Linked DNA regions of Macaca mulatta. The protein of the gene in region 2 binds, or shares a complex with, the protein of the main gene of each other region. Links are inferred from orthologs where the notes say so. Each region holds a gene or a part of one and is shown on either strand. Other genes may lie near its edges.

Region 1 (6,243 bases), on a different chromosome or scaffold from region 2:
TTCCTTAGGGCTTGGGTCTTCCACCCCAGTGACATGAGGAGGGTCACGTGGCTTCTCAAACACCAAGTAACAATGGGGGCGATAAGTTGGCTCAGAGCCCAGGACCCCTGCTTCTAATGAGGTCAGGGGACACACCCAGCGGTGGGTGGGGGCTAGATACCCCACATCAGCATGGACAAAGGTTCCAATTCCCACACCCATTCCTGCTTCACCCACCCTCCCTAATGCTCCTGTCCCCTAGAGTGGCAAGCCACCTTTTTCCAGAGTCAACTGAGGGGCTCCTAGAGCCAACGCTGGGTGTGGAGCCCCCAGAGGTAGGGTCTGGGGCGGACCATCTTTCTACACACTAGATTCTATGCTTAGCATGGTGCCATGCACGTGGCAGGGACACAGAGAATGTCTTGGGTGGTGGAAACTTCAATGGTGTGAATGGTGCCGCGGAAGGGGCAGTGGGGTGCTAAGACTTGGGCCCAAGTGGTGAAGGGGAGGAGCAAAGAAAACGTGCATGTTGGGGGGGTCAGGGGAAGGACACCTGGGACAAGTACCTGGTGTCCTTGTCCTCTGCAGGCCCTCAGCCTCAGCCAGAAACCAGCATGCAGTTTCCATCCCTTCGGCCCTGCAGCCTCAAACTTCCAAGCCTCAGTTTCCCCAGCTCAAAAGGCTGGGACAGGATTAGGGTAGGCCCCTGGTCCTCGCGCTTCCCAGGGTAACCTGGAGCGGCGGTCCCGGAGCGCACTCCTCGGGCTCAGCTCATCTTCACTTACCAGGGTCTGCTCGTACTGCAGCGCCCGCGGCTCCATCCCTTCCTCCGCCGCCGCGGCCGCCATCTCCGCGCACTGCCCTCTCGCCTCCCTCAGCGGCTCCGGCTCTGTCCTGGACTTGGCTCCCGGCCCGCAGAGTCAGCGCAGGTAGCCGTCCCGTCCCCGCAGCTCCGGAGGCCGAGAGCAGAGTGCGGCGGGCCCCCGGCGGGCGCCGCTGGCGCAGCCTCCCGCTCGCGTCCCCTCCTCGGCGGGCGGGCAGAGGGCGGTGCCCTCTGCGCTGCTCCGCCCGCCGGCCCATCCGGAGGGGACGGCCCAGCCAGGCTGGGGTCCGTGCGGGGCCTCCCGAGAGGCGGCAAAGGGCGCTGGGAAGGCGTAAGCCCGCGCCGGCTCCCTGCAGAGGCCCGGGTCGGAGAGGGGCGCCCGGGAGGGGCGGGTCTACTGGCACGTGGAGGGGCCCACCCGGGTTCGCAGTTCCCAGTGCCCAGGCAGGAGGGGCTGCAGACGCCTGAACTCCGTAGGGGTTGGGGCTGGGAGCTGCGGAGCTGTCTACATCGGATTCCTCCGGGTCAGCCCGTTAGGAGCCGCCTCCCCTCTGTCCCTCCGAAGGGACGAGCGGCCCAGACAGGCCCAGGAAGGCCCCTCTGCCCCGTCAGGGGTGAAAAGCAAAGCTGGGAGAATTCGGAGGGAATTGGAGCCGTCTTCCTCATCCTTCCTTTTCTCGGGGCTCCCCTGGGGAGGTGCACTTGGAGCAACCCGGCCTACGGGGTGTGCAGGGGTGGAGGTTGGGGAGGGCACCGGAAGGGGTAGGCCGGAGGGAAGGGAGCTCCAGGTGCCGGGAAGTCCACTTCTGGGACGCGGGCGTGGGTCGCTTCTCCCTGGTTGGGCCCAAGGAGGAACCAGAGTCGCTGCTTCCATCTCTCCGCTTTGGGGGAACCGCCTGCTGGTGCTCTGGGTTCTCTATCAGGGGCTGGTGAAGGATAGAACAGATGGCAGAGCGCGCGCAGGGTGGATGGGCAGCATAGAGATAGTGTGAGAGGAGCGAGGGCAGCGCCCAGGAAACGCACAAGTGTGCGGGACAGCCAGCACCAGGAGGAAGGGGCATTTGGGAGGCAGAGGAGGGCCTCAGGGGGCGGGGGCAGTGCCCGGGAAGGGGGAGCCTTGTGATAGAAGCCAGTACCCAGGAGGAAGGGCCAGTGTGAGGGAAGAGCTGGTGTCCAAGGGACAGGGCAGTGCCAGGCTGAAGGGGCACGGAGGGGATCCGTGTCCAGGAGAAGGCAGTGGAGGACTAAGTTGGAGGGGTAATGCCCGGGGGAGGCGGGTGGCGGGAGCCAGGCTGAGGGGGCGGTGACGGGGAAGACAGCAGGGCCTGGGGGAAGCGGGCAGTGGTGGGAGGGTGCAGTACGAGGGGAGGGGACAATACAGGCTTTCCTCTTCTCCATAGCGACATCATGGCAAATTCCCAAACTGGACGGATCCGGCTCGGGTTACATCCAGCAGGGCCGAGCCGGCCCGGGCAGGCCCCGGGGTCCGCGGTGCCGGCTGGAGGGGCTGGGCACCTCTGGGGCGGGGTTCTGCTCCACCTGCCCTCGGCGCGGACTGTGCCCTAGGCGGGCACGCAGACCGGCGGGGTAGGGCTAGGGCCCGGCTTCTCTGGGCCAAGGATCAAGGTCCCTGCCTGGGTTAGGCCCCCACGACTTCCAATCTTCGGGACCCGGCCTCTGAAGAGGGCGCAGCAGAGCCCCAGCTGAGCGCTAGAACCCGCTCTACAGCCGCGGGAGGTTGGACCTATTGTTTCCCCGCCCTGGGCGGGGCCACCTGGACGTGAGACCCGCCCTCAACGCCGAAGCCTCTCGGGAGCAATCTTTTGGGGCGGAAGTTAAGTAGCCCCGAGCGGGAGTCTGTGGCGGAAGTGGGCGCGTTACCACTTGTTTGTGCGCATGCGCCACTCTTGTCTGGCTGCCGCGCATGTAAAAGCTGGTTTTGCTCTTCTCCCCTCTTCTGCACCAGAGCGGGTGCGCGTACTCCCAGCTGTGGTCGCCCGCTCACCCCTTCTGCTGCTCTCGTGGCCCCCTCGCGATGGCGGGCATCCTCTTTGAAGATATTTTCGATGTGAAGGATATTGACCCGGAGGGCAAGAAGTTTGACCGAGGTAAGTAAAGTAGGTAGGGGCGATTTGGAGGAAGAGGCTAACCTCGCGGACATGCCCCTGGACCCCGTGTCCACCCAGCTCTTGTGGCCTGCCCCTACCAGCAGGTCCTGATGTAGGGACCTCCCTCAGGAAACAATTTATGGATGAGAAAAGGGAGACTCCCGAGCTTTCTCTGGCTTCACGCATGCCGTGCCCGGTGCCTAGGTGGCCTTTTGTCATGGTGCTGGCAAACTCCTGGGCATCTTTATAATCGCTACCTGCTCTGTGCTAGACACTGTCTTGTGAGACCAGCCTGGCCAACATGGTGAAACCCCGTCTCTACCAAAAATACAAAAATTACAGGCGGGCGCCTGTAATCCCAGCTACTTGGGAGGCTGAGGCAGGAGAATTGCCTGACCCTGGGAGGCGGAGGTTGCAGTGAGCCAAGATTGCGCCGCTGCACTCCAGCCTGGCAACAGAGCGAGACTCCTCAAGAAAATGAGAGTCCTCATGAGGTGGGTGGTGCCTTCCCCATTTTTTTCTGAGAGAGTAATCCACCCAAGGCTTCACAGCGAGTAATCTGACTTCAGAGCCTATATTCTTGTATTGCCCTCATAATCCTTAGCGCTTTAAGTCTTCTCTGAGTTAGAGTTAGCTGCTTGGTATATCCTTTTTTTTTTTTTTTTTGAGACAGAGCCTCGAGCCCAGGCTGGAGTGTAGTGGCACGATCTTGGCTCACCACAACCTCCGTCTCCCGGGTTCAAGCGATTCTCTGCCTCAGCCTCCCAAGTAGCTGGGATTACAGACATGCTCCACCACGCCTGGCTAATTTTGTATTTTTAGTAGAGACGGGGTTTCACCACTTTGGCCAGGCTGGTCTCGAACTCCTGACCTCAAGTGATCCACCTGCCTCAGCCTCCCAAAATGTTGGGATTACAGGCGTGAGCCACTCCACTGGCCTACACCTCTTAATTTTGTCATCTATCAATAATTTTCTTTTTGATGTCTCATTCTTTGCCTGGAGACTCAGATGTTTTCAAGACGGATACCAGTTCTTATACATCTTGATAACTCCCCTCAGCACAGTGCCTGTCATAGAAAGAGGAAACCTTTGGATGATTGAATAACTTGCCCAGAGTCAGGTTCTCAGTCATCCAGGCAGGCCTAGAACCGGGTATTATTTGCTGCTGAAGTATCTTTGGTTGTTTTCTGGGGATTACGTTCACTTGCCACAGTTTTTCTCCCCTTTTCCTTCTTGCATGTCTGGTTCTGATGGAGCCTGCATTTCTATGAGAGCAGATGAGAGACCAGTGGTTGTAGACTGGGTTAGATTGAGTATTCTGTTGCATACAATCCCACACTGTAGGATCTGCCTTGGGCCTGGCAATACCTCTGTCACTCTTTTCCTGCTTCTCCCCAGTGTCTCGACTGCATTGTGAGAGTGAATCTTTCAAGATGGATCTAATCTTAGATGTAAACATTCAAATTTACCCTGTAGACTTGGGTAAGTATTGAACACAGACAATAATAAGAGGCATTTTGCCGCTTCCGCTATTCTTCACTCTCTGATATTGCTGTTATTTTCAGGTGACAAGTTCCGGTTGGTCATAGCTAGTACCTTGTATGAAGATGGTACCCTGGATGATGGTGAATACAACCCCACTGATGATAGGCCTTCCAGGTGAGGTAGTGGAGAAGGTAATACTTGGAATATGCCTTGAGAACTAAGTAGATAAGTGATATAGAAAGACTCTTCTTTAATTCCTGGAATAAATGATGATCAGCAGAATCTGAGTAACCTTAAGGAAATTTCTGCACTTAAGAATTCAAACAGGCCAGACACCGTGGCTCACACCTGTAATCTAAGCACTTTGGGAGGCCGAGCAGGAGGATTGCTTGGGTACAGGAGTTCAAAACCAGCCTGAGCAACATAGCGAAACCTCACTGCTACAAAAATAAGAAAAAAAGAAAAAAAAAAAAAAAAGGCTGCACATGTTGTCATATGCCTGTAGTTCCAGCTACCTGGGAGGCTGAGGTGGGAGGATTGCCTGAGCCCAGGAGGTTGAGGCTGCAGTGAGCCATGATTGTACCACTGCAATCCAGCCTGGGTGACAGAGTAAGACCCTGTCTCAAAAAAAAAAGAAAAAAATTCCAACAACCAGGTATTTATCTATAACAGTGATTACATGCTTGTGAGTTGTAGCCTTTTGAAGGCTGAGGAGGTGACTGCTGAGTGCCCTAGGCTATGTGGGTCTTGTGTCTTGGGAGGGAGCTTGGTGTGATGGAAAGACTTTGGCACCCCACTTGAGTTCATTTCTCAGCTCTATCACTTATTTGTTGAGTAACCTTAATCTCCTTCAGCCTGTTTCCCCATCAGTAGAATAGAGATGATCATGATCATGCCTAGCTCACGGGGTTGCTGCGAGGACTAAATGACATCATGTTTGTTTGTAATGTGCCTTTTTTTTTTTTTTTTTTTTTTTTAGACGGAGTCTTGTTATGTCGCCCAGACTGGAGTGCAGTGGCTCAATCTCGGCTCACTACAAGCTCCGCTTCCTGGGTTCACGCCAGTCCCGAGTAGCTGGGACTACAGGCGCCCGCCACCACGCCCGGCTAATTTTTTTATATTTTTAGTAGAGATGGGGTTTCACTGTGTTAGCCAGGATGGTCTCGATTTCCTGACTTCGTGATCTGCCCGCCTCAGCCTCCCAAAGTGCTGGGATTACAGGCTTGATACACTGCGCCCAGCCGACCAGTAACCATTTTTAAATGGGATTTTTTATATTGTTAATTACTGTTAAGAATAACTTTGCTGCTATTGCTCCACAGGGCTGACCAATTTGAATATGTAATGTATGGAAAAGTGTACAGGATTGAGGGAGACGAAACTTCTACTGAAGCAGCAACACGCCTGTAAGTTACATAATCTTATGAGGTTCTTTTCCCTCTCTGTGTTCTGAGACTTTGAGCTATGCTCCTGCTTCCTCTGTTGGGTCCCTCTCCTCAGGCACCTCAGACCTAGGTAGGAACTAGAAAGAAATGGTTCTGAGAGCAGTTTCCAGTCTGAAAGGTAGACTGCTCTTTGTCAGGCCCTCCTGGCCCAGCAGTCCAGATGAGAAACTGGTTATCTTACTGTGTAAAGTGCAAAGGAGACTTGCTTCTCCAGAAACAAATGCAGCATTAAGTGATTATCCTATTAGGCTGTGTGTGTGTGTGTGTGTGTGTGTGTGTGTGTGTGTGTGTGTGTGTGTGTGTTTTGCTACTCTGTAACCCAATCCCTAGTTCCTTGGTTTTCCTGTCCAGCTATTTTTTCTTTTCTTTAAAATCTTATTAAAACAATATGTGCTTTTTGTA
Region 2 (6,350 bases):
TTCACACACTATTAAGAAGGTGGGGAAGCTGAAACTTTGGATTCCAAACCCTTTGCTCTTTCCTAGTCAAAACAAGTCAGTTCTATGCCTCACTTTTCCTTTTTTTTTTTTTTTTAACGTATTATAATAGGGTGTGTGTGTGTTTGTAGAGGCAGGGTCTTGCTATGTTGTCTAAGCTGATCTTGAACTCCTGGGCTTAATCACTTAAGACCTCCTGTCTGGGTCTCCCAAAGTGCTGGGATTACAGGTGTGAGCCAGTACGCCTAGCCCACCATGCCTCACTTTTAGTGCAGTGTGATCCTACACAAATTGCCCTGTGTATATTCCAAGGGCCAATCTGGGTTTGTAAGGCCAGAAACATGTGCAATTGCGGGGTGAGGGGTAGGTGGTCGGTGGCTCTTTTGACAAAAAAAAAAAAAAAAAAAAAAAGATGAAAACAAAATTAAGTTCAGGGTCTTGGGCAGGTCCTGAAAGTTAGGGGCCTAGAAGCTGAAATTAATCTACGAGTGGTAAATCTGCCTCTCCTATATGCCAGTGCCCCCAAAAACAAACAAACAAACAAAAACAGGACACACCAGATCTTGACAGGGCTTCCTCCCTGTTTGTGAAACGTGACAGAAGTGGGATCTGGAAGTCCTGGGAAAACAATCTCATTTCTCCCAGGAGACAAGAGGAATTACAGCAGCAAAGAGGCAGGCCGAGTGGAGGAGAAGGCTGCATGCCAGGGGAGAGTCGAAAGGGGCTGGGTGATCCAGCTGGCCGAGATGCGGGCAGTAGAGCCTCGGTGTGGGAGACTGGCAGCCTGAGAGCCAGGAGCAATGGCGCTGCCCCAGAAGCGGTGGCTGGAGACTGGGCCTGCTGGAAGCAGGCTTCCTTCAGATGGTCTTCTGGCTCCCTGCGTCCTGTCCTGATAACCTTTCCTCTGAAAAGGGGAGGCAAAGACAGACAACCACAGCCATGATAGTGGGAGGGTGGGTGGTGGACCCCGTCCAGGCCTTTCATCCCCGGCCTGCAGTTTAGTGAACCGGGAGACGTCTCGTCGCAGGCTGCTCCGCTGCCGCCCGGAGCAGCGAGAACCGGGTGCTGGGCTCCCCTCGCGGCTGCCCGCCGCCGCCGGGGGGCAGCGCCTGCGGCCTGCTTTCCCAGGGCCGGCCGAGGCTTTTTGACAAGCTGATTGCGTGGCGAGGATTGGCTGGTCCGGGCGTGACGCCGGTAACAACAAAGGTGGAGTTGGAAGAAATTAGATTAAAGGAGAGAAAAAAAATTAAAGGGGGAGCTGGCAAAAGACAGGAGGTATAGACCGAGGGGGAGATGCGCCAAGTGGTGTCTCCCGGTTCCGACTCCCCCCCGCCCCGCCTCGACCCCAGAAGATCCCTCGCGCAAACCCACTGGGATTTTGCTCTTTCCCCTACCCCCGCCCAGTGACCGACGCCGGGGTAGGAAGGATAGCCGCTTCTTCTTGAAAAATCCCCGCAACTCCCACCCTGACACCCCTCACTACGACCCAGGGGGAGAACTTTTTGCTCGGACTCCTCGGATCCTAAACCCAGCGAAGAGGGGGACATTGATAAGCTCGTCCTTTTAAAACCCGGAAGGCCCTCGCGGAGCATGGAGATCGGATAAGGCGGGGTGCTCCCTCGGTTTTCCGATGTGTTGCAAATCTAAGAGCTTCTTTCTCGCTTTTTTTTTTTTTCCCCTGTAACTACCCCCCCTCCCTTTTGCTTCAGGGTTGCAAAAGCAAAGAGCAATAAAAAAAAAAAAAAAAACCGCGCACACACTCAGACACACACCAGTGGCGACAGGGGAGAGTTGGAAAGACGCAGGAGAGAAGCAGGAGGCAGGAGGCAGCGGGGATGGAGCAATGGGAGCGGGAAGCAGGCAGGTTTCCTTGCAAATCCCCCTCCGGCCTCACGCCGCCTCCCAGCCCCGGCAGGGGAGCGAGGACCCCGGCGAACAGATGGAGGAGTGGAGCTCGCTCTAGGCAGCTGGGCTTGGCCGGAGAATGGAGGAGCCACCAAGCGACCGGCTGATTGGAAGAGAAACGCAGAGCGATGGAGGCGGGGGTAGGAGGACGATTTCTCTGCGGGGACTGGCGGCGGCGTACACGCCCGGGTCGGGCGCTGCAGAGCTTGGCTGGCTTTCAACCCGCGCTCGCCGGCTCCAGCCCCGCGCGCCCCCACCCCTAGCCCTCCCGGCGGCTCCGCAGGTGAGTGCGAGCTGCGGGCAGAAAGATCCAAAAGTCTCAACACGCCCGCCCTGCAAAAAAGGAAAAAAGAAAAAAAAGGAAGAAAACCATTTTACTTTAAAAAAAAAATTTTTTTTTGTGCAACCCCTAAAGCAGTGGGAGGGAAGGGGTGAGGCTGAGCCGCCCGGAGGAGGCGGAGGGGCCAGGCGAGGCCGGGGTGGCCCGGGAGGCGGCGGCGCCGAGGCGGCTCTGACGGGCAAGCGCTCGGAGCGGCGCTGCGCTGCGCCGAGGCGGGCGGGCGGGCGGGCGGAGCGGGGCGGGCGGAGCGCGGCGCGTGGGGCTCGCCATTAGCCGTCGCTCCGCTTCGCCATCTCGGGCTTTGTCTGGCGACTCGCTGCCCCGGCGTCGGCTGCAGCGGAGCTGCGGCTCGGCTGTTCCGCCCGCCGTGCTCCCAGGTGCCCCCGGCCTGCGCTCCCATCCACACGCTCGGTAAGTGAGCCCGGGCGCCGCGGATTTCGGGGGAGAGGGGTTGCTACGAGTGGCGGCGGCACCGATCTCCATGCGCCCGGGCAGGCCTGGGGAGCCATGCCGGGCTGGATTGAACCGGCTCCCACAGCGGCCCCTCCGCCGGAGCCCGTCGTTCCCTCGCCGTTTCCGGGGTGTAAAGAGCAACGGGGATTTTTTTTTTTAATGCAGAGATTTTCGGTTTTGGGTTTTTTTAAAGTTTCCTATGTACCGTTCGGCAATGAGAGGATCGCGAGGTAGGCGCCGAAGCTGGACGCCGCGATCGGCGTGCGTGCGCCCCAAACCAGTGGCCACGCTCCGGGGGATGAGGGTGGGCGCGGACCGCTCGCTCCGGGAGGCGGGAGAGAGCTGGCCTGGAAGCCCCAGTCTGAGCTGGGAGGACTTGGGGGAGAGCTCCGGAGCAGGGCTGTGGGCGCCCCCCAAGCCTTCCTGGCCGCCGGGGGCCCCTCCGGGCACCCTCTCCGCGGCCGCGCCTCGGCCCTCCCTCCCGCGCCGGCAAAGCCTGCTAGTTCCCCCGCGGGTCTGGCGAGGTCGCTCTCGGCGCCCGCCCGCCCGCCCGCCCCGGCTCCGAGCCCCGCCGCCATCCGGGCGGCTGCGTGTCTCCCTGCCCCGGCCCCCCCCTTCCCCGGCGGCGGCGGCGGCGGCAGCAGCAGCAGCAGCAGCCGCCGCCGCCACCAGCACCAGCACCACCACCACCCCCCTCCCCTCCTTCCTTCCCTCCGCCTCGGCCGCCCGGGTCCCCCCAGCTCCCGCCCCTCCTCCCAGCTGCCCCCCGCGGAGCCCGCCCGGGCAGGCTGTGGGAGGGAGCGGAGCCGGCGAGGCGGGCGGGCTGGCGCTCGCTCCCCGGGGGTCGGTGTGCGCTCTACGGGGAAGGACGCGCTCGCTGCCCCGCTTCTCCCGCCCCCCCTCCCGCTCCTCCTCCTCCCTTCTCCCTCCTCCTCCCCGCTCCGGCGGCTGAGGCTGCGGCGGCGGCGGGGGGTGTGCGAGCTGAGGCCGGGGCCGGCGGCGGGCGGGCTGCCTGCAGGCGGAGGGCGCTGTGCTTTGTGCTTTTCGCCGCGAGGAGCAGCAGGCAGCAGCCACAGCCGCCGCCGCCGCCGCCACAGCAGCAGCAGCCGCCGCCCCAGCGCCGCCGCCTCGCCCGGAGGAGGAGCCGCTGCCGCCGCGGGAGGGAGCTGCGGCTGTGCCCGGCCGAGCGGGGGAGGGCGCCGCCACTCAGAGCCGGGGAGGGAGCCGCCGGAGCGGGAAGCCCGGAGGCCGCGCTGCGCCGGGTAACCGAGGCGGCTGAGAACGCGCGCTGGGTTCGGGGCCGGACAGCAGGGAGCGAACCGCGGGTTGCGGTGGGCGCCCAGCAGGGACCCGGAGCGACCACCGAGCAGGGGACCGGGCGCGAGCAGACCAGGGCACTTGGGAGGACGCCGAGAGCCGGGGGAGGGGAAGGCAGGAAGCGAGGCCTGAGCCGAGCCACGGCCGCTGGCGGAGGAGCCCGCGCTTCTCGGATCCGGCAGGCGCAGTTCTCCCCGGCCGCCGGAGGGGGCGGCGGGGCCGGTGAGCGCTGCGCCCCCGCCTCCCGGCCGCCGTCCTCCCGCCCTCTCCTTGGCTCGGCTCCCCGGAGGCCGGGGCGGGGGCGCCGGCGGGGCTGGGCCGCAGGCTCGGGGGAGGAGGCGGCGGTTCCCGCCGCGGTCGCGCCTCTGTGCCGGGCTCCTCCGTGCGCGTCGGGGTGGCTGGGTGGTGGCGGCGCCTCTGGCCGGGGTGGGTGGCTCGGGGGCGGGGGGCAGGCTAGGCCGCTTCTCTCCGGCTGCTCGCCCGCCTGTGCGGGCGGGGACGGCGAAGGGAGCCCGGGAGGGGGGAGCGGCGAGAATCCGGATCCGGTCCCCGGGGGCGGTGCGGCCGCTGCGCTCCGGGGCTGGCGGCGGCTGCGCTGCGTCCGGGTCCCCGCCGGGTTGCGGAGGCGGGGGGAACCGGCTGGGGGGAGGCGGGAGGAGGAGACTGGGGCGCGTGCCCGCTTCCGTGGCCGCGCGCGCCCTTTACCCGCCCTTCCTCTTCCCCCGCCCTCCAGCCTGGGGCCTCCCCGGGGCGGGCGCTCAGAGGAGGAGGAGATTTTTTTTTTTTTTGGCTGGGGTTGGGGAAGGGGGGCGGAGGGCGGGCGCTCGCTGCACGCGGGAGCTGGGAGCAGGCCCTCGCGTGGGCAGGGGAGGGCGCGCGCCGCGGAGCCGGGCCGCAGGGGCTGGGGGAGGGGGGTCAGGAAGAAGAGGAGGGGCGTACTCTCCCTCCCAGAGACCCCTTAAGTCTGATAAGGTTATGGCTGGGTCTCTGAGAGCGTGGACCTGCCCACCTTTACTCTGGGCGGGGAGGGTTAGAAAGTCGTTCACCTCTCAGCCTTCCTGAGTGGGAACTTGTATGTCTTCCAAAGGGTGAGGTGGCTTTGACCCCGGGTTGCCCGGCCAGCACGACCGAGGAGGTGGCTGGACAGCTGGAGGATGAACGGAGAAGCCGACTGCCCCACAGACCTGGAAATGGCCGCCCCCAAAGGCCAAGGTAGGGGCATCCACTCCCAGCCCTCTGAAACTTAAACCCTCTTTGCCTCGTGGCTGTGGGGCACACTGCCTTCTTCAAGGGCTTTTCCAGTCTGCATACACTGAATTGGGGGAGAAAGTGCCTTGAGTACTTATGAATCAAGCATCTCCCACACTTGATTGGTTTGGCTGAATCCAAATTTTTTGGCCTGGAGTGGCTTACCTCCCCTCTCTCCCTGTCCCTCACACCCTATGTTAGAGGAGGCCTGCCTTCTGGGGTTTGCATTCAACCTTAAGTGTGTCCCAGCCCAGTGTCCTGGAATGGGAGGAATGATGACTGTAGAGGGAAGGCTTCTCAGGCTTTTTAGGAAGACCATGAGGCTTTTGTAGAGGCAGGTGGAGAAGAGGGCTGTTGTGGTGGTTTGAGGCCCCAAGCCATGGGATATATGTACTCAACTAGATCTCTGCCTCATTCAGCAGTGATCCAGTTTGGATGGGGGTGGAGGGTAGGATGGAGCTGGGCAGCTGGCCATGCTTGTGGGACATTGAGGGGAGAGGGGATTATGGGTCCTTGTGGCCCATTCTGCAGAATCCCTGGCCTAGGTTACGAGATGCGAATGAAAATGGAGAGCCCTTTTGACTTCTGGCCTTGGGTGACTATTCTCCCAGCCCATCCACAGAGGCCTAGAGCTCTCTGGGGCTGCATTTCAGTGGCTGAAAATAACTGGTCCAGACCTGGTCTTGCTTCCCTGGGGAGCTGGGCTGACAAGACAGCTTGTAATTCTGGGGGTTCTCCCTGGATCAGGGCCCTGAGAGCTTTTGTGCACCTGCCTACTTTGCCTCAGAGTTGCCCTGTATCCTGCTTCTGTTTCTGTTTCTTTTTTCTTATTTGCCAGAAATTCTCCCTTGATCTGCCTTGAGGGGCTAGGGGATAGTGGGTATCTCTAACATTGGTCTCCAGCTGTGCAGGAGAAACATGTGCATGAATTTTCCTTACTGCCCACACCCCATCCTCAGTCCTTGCACATTTAGAATATCCACTCAGAACTTGAACTTGGCAGCACATTTAGATACAATGCCTCCTTGCTTCCCTCCTCTGACAAGCTATCTCATTTCCCACAAAGTCC
Region 3 (6,584 bases), on a different chromosome or scaffold from region 2:
TCCATGTCATATGCCTGGTATACACTGGAGGAAAAACATGTCAAAAGATTTCAGTTCCTAAAACTAGCAGCCACCCACAGGTGGGGCCTCTTCCTCACCCTACCACTACTTACCTTTGTGGTTCACATACAGTTCGTTGGGGTCAGAGGAATCTTTAGCAGCATGGGGGTTCCGAGTGCATCTGACTTGGAGACGAAACCGTAGGGTATCTATCTCTGTGCCGTCTTCATCTCCTGCACAAATGGAGGGAGCTCTTAAGAACTAGTAAACATCTGGCCGGGCGCGGTGGCTCAAGCCTGTAATCCCAGCACTTTGGGAGGCCGAGACGGGCGGATCACGAGGTCAGGAGTTCGAGACCATCCTGGCTAACACCGTGAAACCCCGTCTCTACTAAAAAATACAAAAACTAGCCGGGCGAGGTGGCGGGCGCCTGTAGTCCCGGCTACTCGGGAGGCTGAGGCAGGAGAATGGCGTAAAAACCCGGGAGGCAGAGCTTGCAGTGAGCTGAGATCCGGCCACTGCACTCCAGCCTGGGCGACACAGCGAGACTCCGTCTCAAAAAAAAAAAAAAAGAAAAAAAAAAAAAGAACTAGTAAACATCTGAGTGCCAGCACTATGCTGAATGCTTTACATATGTGTCCCATTTAATTACGGCAAACTTGGGAAGCCAAGGCAAGTGTTCTCACAGATGAAAAACACTGATGTACAAACATAAGTAACTTACCCAACATCACAGTCAACCAGGATTTGAACCCAGACAGTCCACTTCTCCCAAAATTTCATTTTCTTACCTTGATTCCGATACTCAAAAAGACGGGGATCAGCATGAATGGGAATGAGCCCCAGACGGTGAGCAAGGATCTCATCCTGAACAATGGATGTATTATTGTACACCAGGACCTTCTCCACAGCCATAGTTGGCACCTGCCCAAGGAAAAATAACCACTTATCTGCAAAAACCCAACAGACCCCCTACCTATCCCCACAACCCCACCCTCCAGAGGTAAGGAGCTATCTCTCTTCCTAGAATGTTTAATGAGAAATTTACAAAGAATGAGAAGGTAAAATGCTCAGCAAAATTCCAGGAAAAATGAGGGAAGGACAGCTTGAGACAATTCTCCAAGTGAGGTGTCAGTGCAGTTCCCAAAGCAACTCCAGCCTTGTCACCATGCCTGCCAATACCTCAGCTAACAGAATTCGTCGAAAAGCATTGGCAATGGCTGCGTCAATTCCCACCATGTCGAACTCCAGTGAGTTTTCATCCATGTGTACTACATCCACACGGAAATTCTAGAGGGACAGGAAAAACATTTAAGTGAAACCTGCTCTCTCTGTAATATCTCTTCATACCTCCCCCTTAGATAATTCCCTCAAGTATTATCCTCTCATCCAAAAACCTCCCTTTGCCCAGATGTCCCTTATTAAATATTCTTTCTCGCCCAGTGCTTTAGTTTCATAAAAAGTCTCCATTTTTGTCGTCCATTCATTAAAACCCTATGCAATATGGCTTCCAACCAAACCATCCACAGAAGCTATTCCACTAAAGAACAGAAACTACCATAGTGCTTAGTCCTGTTGACACTACCCAGTCCTCTTACTAGACTTCTGTTATGCTTGACATTGATTAAAAAACCTCCTCTGGGCCCAGCACGGTGACTCACACCTGTAATCCCAGCACTATGGGAGGCCGAGGGGCGGATCACAAGGTCAGGAGTTTGAGACCAGCCTGGCCAGCATGGTGAAACCCCGTCTCTACTAAAAATTCAAAAAATTAGCTGGGCATGGTGGCGCGTAGCTGTAGTCCCAGCTACTCGGGAGGCTGAGGCAGGAGAACTGCCTGAACCCAGGAGGCGGAGGTTGCAGTGAGCCAAGATTGCACCACTGCACTCCAGCCTGGGAGATAAGAGTGTCTCATGAAAAGGAAAAAAAAAAAAAAAATCCCCTTTTTTGAACGATTCCCCTGGTTTCTGAGCTCCACTCTTCTTCCATCTCTGATGATCAACTTCCACCCATCTCTAAATTTGCCAGGTTCTTGTCTCTCTCCCAGGTCACCTTAACTGTACTAACAGTTTTAGCAACTATCTGTTCTGACAACTCCCAAAATTTTATCTCACTTCTGATCTCATTTCAAGCATGCAGTCTTCTAGCCTGCTAGATTTCCCCACATACAGAAAACAATGCATCATCATCCCTGTTCCCCAGACCCATTTCTCCTCTTAGTAAATGATACCACAAAGCAAAAAGCAGTTCCCAAGCCAGAAAAAGTCATTTTATGCTACCCCCACAGCCTTTATCCAAGCAATCATAAATTTACCTTATATTCTTCCTTTGCTCTATTTCTACCATCAGTCTTAGTTCATATCTTCAACCTCAGCTTCCCTTACAACAGATCTGCCTGCTCCATATGATCCTCCTCAAACTCATTCCCTCCCAGCCATCAAGGTTGCAAATCTGATCATGTCTGCTTAAGAAACTATTCAAGCTCCCTATCATCCACAGTGTGACACACTTCAATCTTGCCGACCACTCATGCCAGAACTACTTGGACATTCCCGGAGCACATGTCACAGAAGTCATAATTTTTTTTCAAGCATTAGCCTTTTTCATTGTTCATACTTTATTCCTTGTATCAACAGGTTAAAAAAGTAAAATTTTCCCAGGCACTGATTTACACATCATGTTTATAAGCTGCATAAAGGGTAACATTTAGGTCAGTTGCATAAAGAGTAACATTCAGTAATCTATTTAAATGCAATTTTAACCCTTATTTTAAGCTAAGTGAAACAATAATACAAAAGACTAAATACACACAAAACCTGCATATCCTGAACTTCACTGACGTGAAACTCAAATCTTTCATAATTCAACTCCTGTTTTTTTTTTTACTTACCATTCAAGGTTCAATTCAGGTGTCCCCTCCTCTTGAAATGTTAAGTACCTCTCGGCCCCTCTTCCTGGTCTCAGCGGAATGCTCCCCACCCCAACCCTGCCGTCTTCATCGCTATCAACCACCTTCACCATATTACACTAGATGCACTTGTTTATACGCACCATTCCTCAACAAGACGGAATATCTCTGCAGAGATAGAAACCGTGTCTAATTTGGCCTGTAAACGGAGCGTCTAGCACATTGCTCAACAAACACAAACGGAGCGACCCCCAAAAGCAGCTGCTGAGACAGACACAGGCTGCTCAGGCCACAGGGTCTGGCCTTCATAACCCTCCCCAGACAACTTCGGCCCCACTTACCTTCTCGAAGCGGTCCTGGTCCCAGGCATCATCATAACCGGAATAGTTTCCGGGAAAGTCAGTGGTATGGACCTAGAGCAAAGGGACGAGTTTGTCCACAAAGGGACAATGAGCCCACGGCTATCCCCACGCCAATCCCAAGACCCACCCCTGTTCCGCTCTCATTCCTCCCGCCCGAGCTCAAGGCCACAAGGCTTACATTGCGAACCCCAAACTCCCCTAGAACCACGCGGCCCCGCATCTCCTCCACCGCCTGAGAAGCCGCCATCTTCAATCTCTCCACGAGACTGGAGGCTCTATCTGGCGCGTGCGTCCTAGTAGACTGGCTCCGTCTCCGTGGCAACGCGCCACCGCCTGGAATCTTAAATATCGCGAGACTTTTCCCCGCTTCCGTCCACGTCCCCAGCCTCCGGAAGTTGGTTTTGTCCAAACATCCGGGCTTCTCTTTTTTGTGTTCCGGCCGATCCCACCTCTCCTCGACCCGGGACGTCTCCCTCACTAAGGCCCACGTCTCGCCCACTCCTCCGCGCGCGGGGCTAGCGCGGGCTTCAGCGACGGGAGCCTTCAAGGGACATGGCAACTACAGCGGCGCCGGCGGGCGGCGCCCGAAATGGAGCTGGCCCGGAATGGGGAGGGTTCGAAGAAAACATCCAGGTAATGGCCCCAAGGCACTAGCTGCCAGCAACCCGAGGGCCAGCGATGTCCAGAAGTGTCTTGAGGATTCTTCCTGTGGGCCTGGAAGTCCGCTCCATTTGCAAAACTCTCTTCTTTGGGTCTTCGTGCACACTAAAGTCAGTAGGATTAACATTGACCTGAAAGGGCCAGACTAGTACTCCAGCCTGAGGGTCTCGGGTCTCTGGGCCCGCTCGAGGCATTAGGAAGAAGGTATTCTTGGAACAAGTTAGGAAGTTGGTCGGGGTCAGGCATGGAGTGGGGTTGGGTGGGATTCACTGGCATTCGCTGAAAACATATTATGTGTATAGTTTTGTTTGGGGCTTAGGAAAGAAGGAAATGGGCACTTTTTCAGCCTTTTAGTCTTTGGTAGGTAAGGTAGGAAAAAGACAGGAATGGAAGACTAGTAGTATGTTTCCCAGGCTAGAAAATTCAGCCAAAGCTAGAAACCAAGAGTTCTGAGAGCATATGAGGGGGAATGGAGTGGCATGATCTGTAGTGATTCCGAGCCGTATCCTCAGCAGTGGAAGAACAAAGCCCTAAACCCTGGGATGAGCAGAGGACTTAATGGATGGAACAGAAAAGTCCTGCACTCTAGGAGCCATTGTCTTCACAGGGCGGAGGCTCAGCTGTGATTGACATGGAGAACATGGATGATACCTCAGGCTCTAGCTTCGAGGATATGGGTGAGCTGCATCAGCGCCTGCGCGAGGAAGAAGTAGACGCTGATGCAGCTGATGCAGCTGCTGCTGAAGAAGAGGATGGAGAGTTCCTGGGCATGAAAGGCTTTAAGGGACAGCTGAGCCGGCAGGTGGCAGATCAGGTAAGCATGATTGAATCTTCTGCAGGTGGAAAGGTATACCTAGGTATGTCCCATGTTCTGGAGTTGGTGTTGGTGATGTTTGCCCCAGGTTGTCCAGTTAGAACCATGTAGAAATCAAGCGGAAAATAGGCAACAGGGTCTAGAACCAACAGTCCCACAATACCTATGCCCATCTTCCTTACTTCAGATGTGGCAGGCCGGGAAGAGACAAGCCTCCAGGGCCTTCAGCTTGTACGCCAACATCGACATCCTCAGACCGTACTTTGATGTGGAGCCTGCTCAGGTGCGGAGCAGGTGAGGAGCCTTCTCTTGAAGAAGCTTCCCTCCTAACACCTAGTCCTTTATGCACACTACAATCAGATTTCAAGCCCTGGGCTCTGGTGGGCTCCCCCTCTTCATGACCCCATCATCTCTCATCACTACACCTGTCACTGAAACAAATAATAATAGCTACCAACTTTCTCCTTTTTTCCATCTAGCTGACTACTCATATTCCCTCAAAACCTACCTCAGATGTCACTTCCTCTGTTCCACATTCCTCAATCCCACCCCCAGTTTGTTCTCTCCTGGTGTTCCTATAGAACTTTGTGCTTGGCAGCCGGGCGCGGTGGCTCACGCCTGTAATCCCAGCACTTTGGGAGGCTGAGGCGGGTGGATCACAAGAGCAGGAGATCGAGACCATCCTGGCTAACACTGAAACCCCGTCTCTACTAAAAATACAAAAAAAATTAGCCGGGCGTGGTGGCAGACACCTATAGTCCCAGCTACTTGGGAGGCTGAGGTAGGAGAATGGCATGAACCCGGGAGGCAGAGCTTGCGGTGAGCCGAGATCGCGCCACTGCGCTCTAGCCTGGGCCACAGAGCGAGACTCCATCTAAAAAAAAAAAAAAAAAAAAAAAAGAACTCTGTGCTTGCCTCTAATAGACAGCACTTCACCACTGCTTTCCTTTCTTATTCCTGGAATCTTCCCCCCAGAGACCAACAGCATCTCAAAAGCAGGCTCTGTCTTGTTTATCTTTTTATTCCCAGCAGCAGAACAGTCTCAGAATCAAAATATCAGGGCATAGTTTTTGAGTGACTTTTCAAGAACTAGATTTAATCCTGGCTTGGTTTTTTTGTTCGTCCTTTAATCAATGCTAATCAAATACCCAGGACCACTCTGCAAGTATTTATTAAGCATTTGCTCTGTGCCAGACCCTATACTAATTGTATCTGGTTCAGTGGTGAAGATAGATAGGAGCCTTGCTCTTGAGTGCAGTTACAGCACAGTATTCATGCTATGATGGGGCACACAGGAGGGATATGTGAGCCAAAGCAGGTTGGTGGATGGGACAGGACAAGTTTCCCAGAGGAAGTAAAATCTAGCTAAAATCCAAGGTATGATTAGGAGCTAGCCACTTGAGAGAAGGGGCAAGTGACTGAATTTTCATACCACTTCACATATAGTTTTCAAGAAAATGCTCGACAGTACCTGGAGGCACAGTTAAGCAGGAAGAGGAGGCGTTTTTACTATTCCCTCAGTAACACCTTTCATTCTAAACCTTCCATCTAGCCCGCTAGACTTTTCCCAGGGCTTCCTCATTATAGCCCTGAATTCTGGGTACTCTCTGCTGAGGTCTGCCTGTCTTGTCTTGTCTTTTTATTTTGTTTTGTTTTTTTGAGATGGAGTCGCACTCTGTCACCAGGCTGGAATGCAGTGGCGCGATCTCCGTTCACTGCAACCTCCACCTGCCAGGTTCAAGCAGTTCTCCTGCCTCAGCCTCCTGAGTAGCTGGGACTACAGGCACCCGCCACCATGCCCAGCTAATTTTATGTATCTTTCATAGAGACGAGGTTTCAC

The links. Proteins that work in one complex are often made in the same cells at the same time.
Region 1: UBTF (region 2) and POLR2H share a complex: the UniProt entries of both Homo sapiens proteins name them as parts of the pol I pre-initiation complex. The link is inferred for Macaca mulatta from reciprocal best matches to the Homo sapiens genes UBTF and POLR2H.
Region 3: UBTF (region 2) and POLR1C share a complex: the UniProt entries of both Homo sapiens proteins name them as parts of the pol I pre-initiation complex. The link is inferred for Macaca mulatta from reciprocal best matches to the Homo sapiens genes UBTF and POLR1C.

Annotation. Positions count from the first base shown.
Region 1 is NC_133407.1:96,501,795-96,508,037, forward strand, and holds the start of POLR2H (DNA-directed RNA polymerases I, II, and III subunit RPABC3), read left to right. Parts: upstream 1-2,705; 5' UTR 2,706-2,837; coding exon 2,838-2,910; exon of another isoform or gene 2,911-2,918; coding exon of another isoform or gene 2,919-2,919; intron 2,920-4,309; coding exon 4,310-4,393; intron 4,394-4,476; coding exon 4,477-4,570; intron 4,571-5,718; coding exon 5,719-5,802; intron 5,803-6,243. Other genes in the region: CLCN2 (chloride channel protein 2), read right to left, coding at 765-827. UniProt on the Homo sapiens protein: DNA-dependent RNA polymerase catalyzes the transcription of DNA into RNA using the four ribonucleoside triphosphates as substrates.
Region 2 is NC_133421.1:68,590,329-68,596,678, reverse strand, and holds the start of UBTF (nucleolar transcription factor 1), read left to right. Parts: upstream 1-2,534; 5' UTR 2,535-2,674; intron 2,675-3,484; exon of another isoform or gene 3,485-3,559; intron 3,560-3,753; exon of another isoform or gene 3,754-4,047; intron 4,048-4,244; exon of another isoform or gene 4,245-4,459; intron 4,460-5,120; 5' UTR 5,121-5,187; coding exon 5,188-5,245; exon of another isoform or gene 5,246-5,300; intron 5,301-6,350. UniProt on the Homo sapiens protein: Recognizes the ribosomal RNA gene promoter and activates transcription mediated by RNA polymerase I (Pol I) through cooperative interactions with the transcription factor SL1/TIF-IB complex.
Region 3 is NC_133409.1:138,600,010-138,606,593, forward strand, and holds the start of POLR1C (DNA-directed RNA polymerases I and III subunit RPAC1), read right to left. Parts: upstream 3,539-6,584; 5' UTR 3,518-3,538; coding exon 3,449-3,517; intron 3,322-3,448; coding exon 3,250-3,321; intron 1,291-3,249; coding exon 1,183-1,290; intron 925-1,182; coding exon 792-924; intron 234-791; coding exon 114-233; intron 25-113; coding exon 1-24. Other genes in the region: protein YIPF3, read left to right, coding at 3,823-3,903, 4,538-4,744, 4,932-5,038. UniProt on the Homo sapiens protein: DNA-dependent RNA polymerase catalyzes the transcription of DNA into RNA using the four ribonucleoside triphosphates as substrates.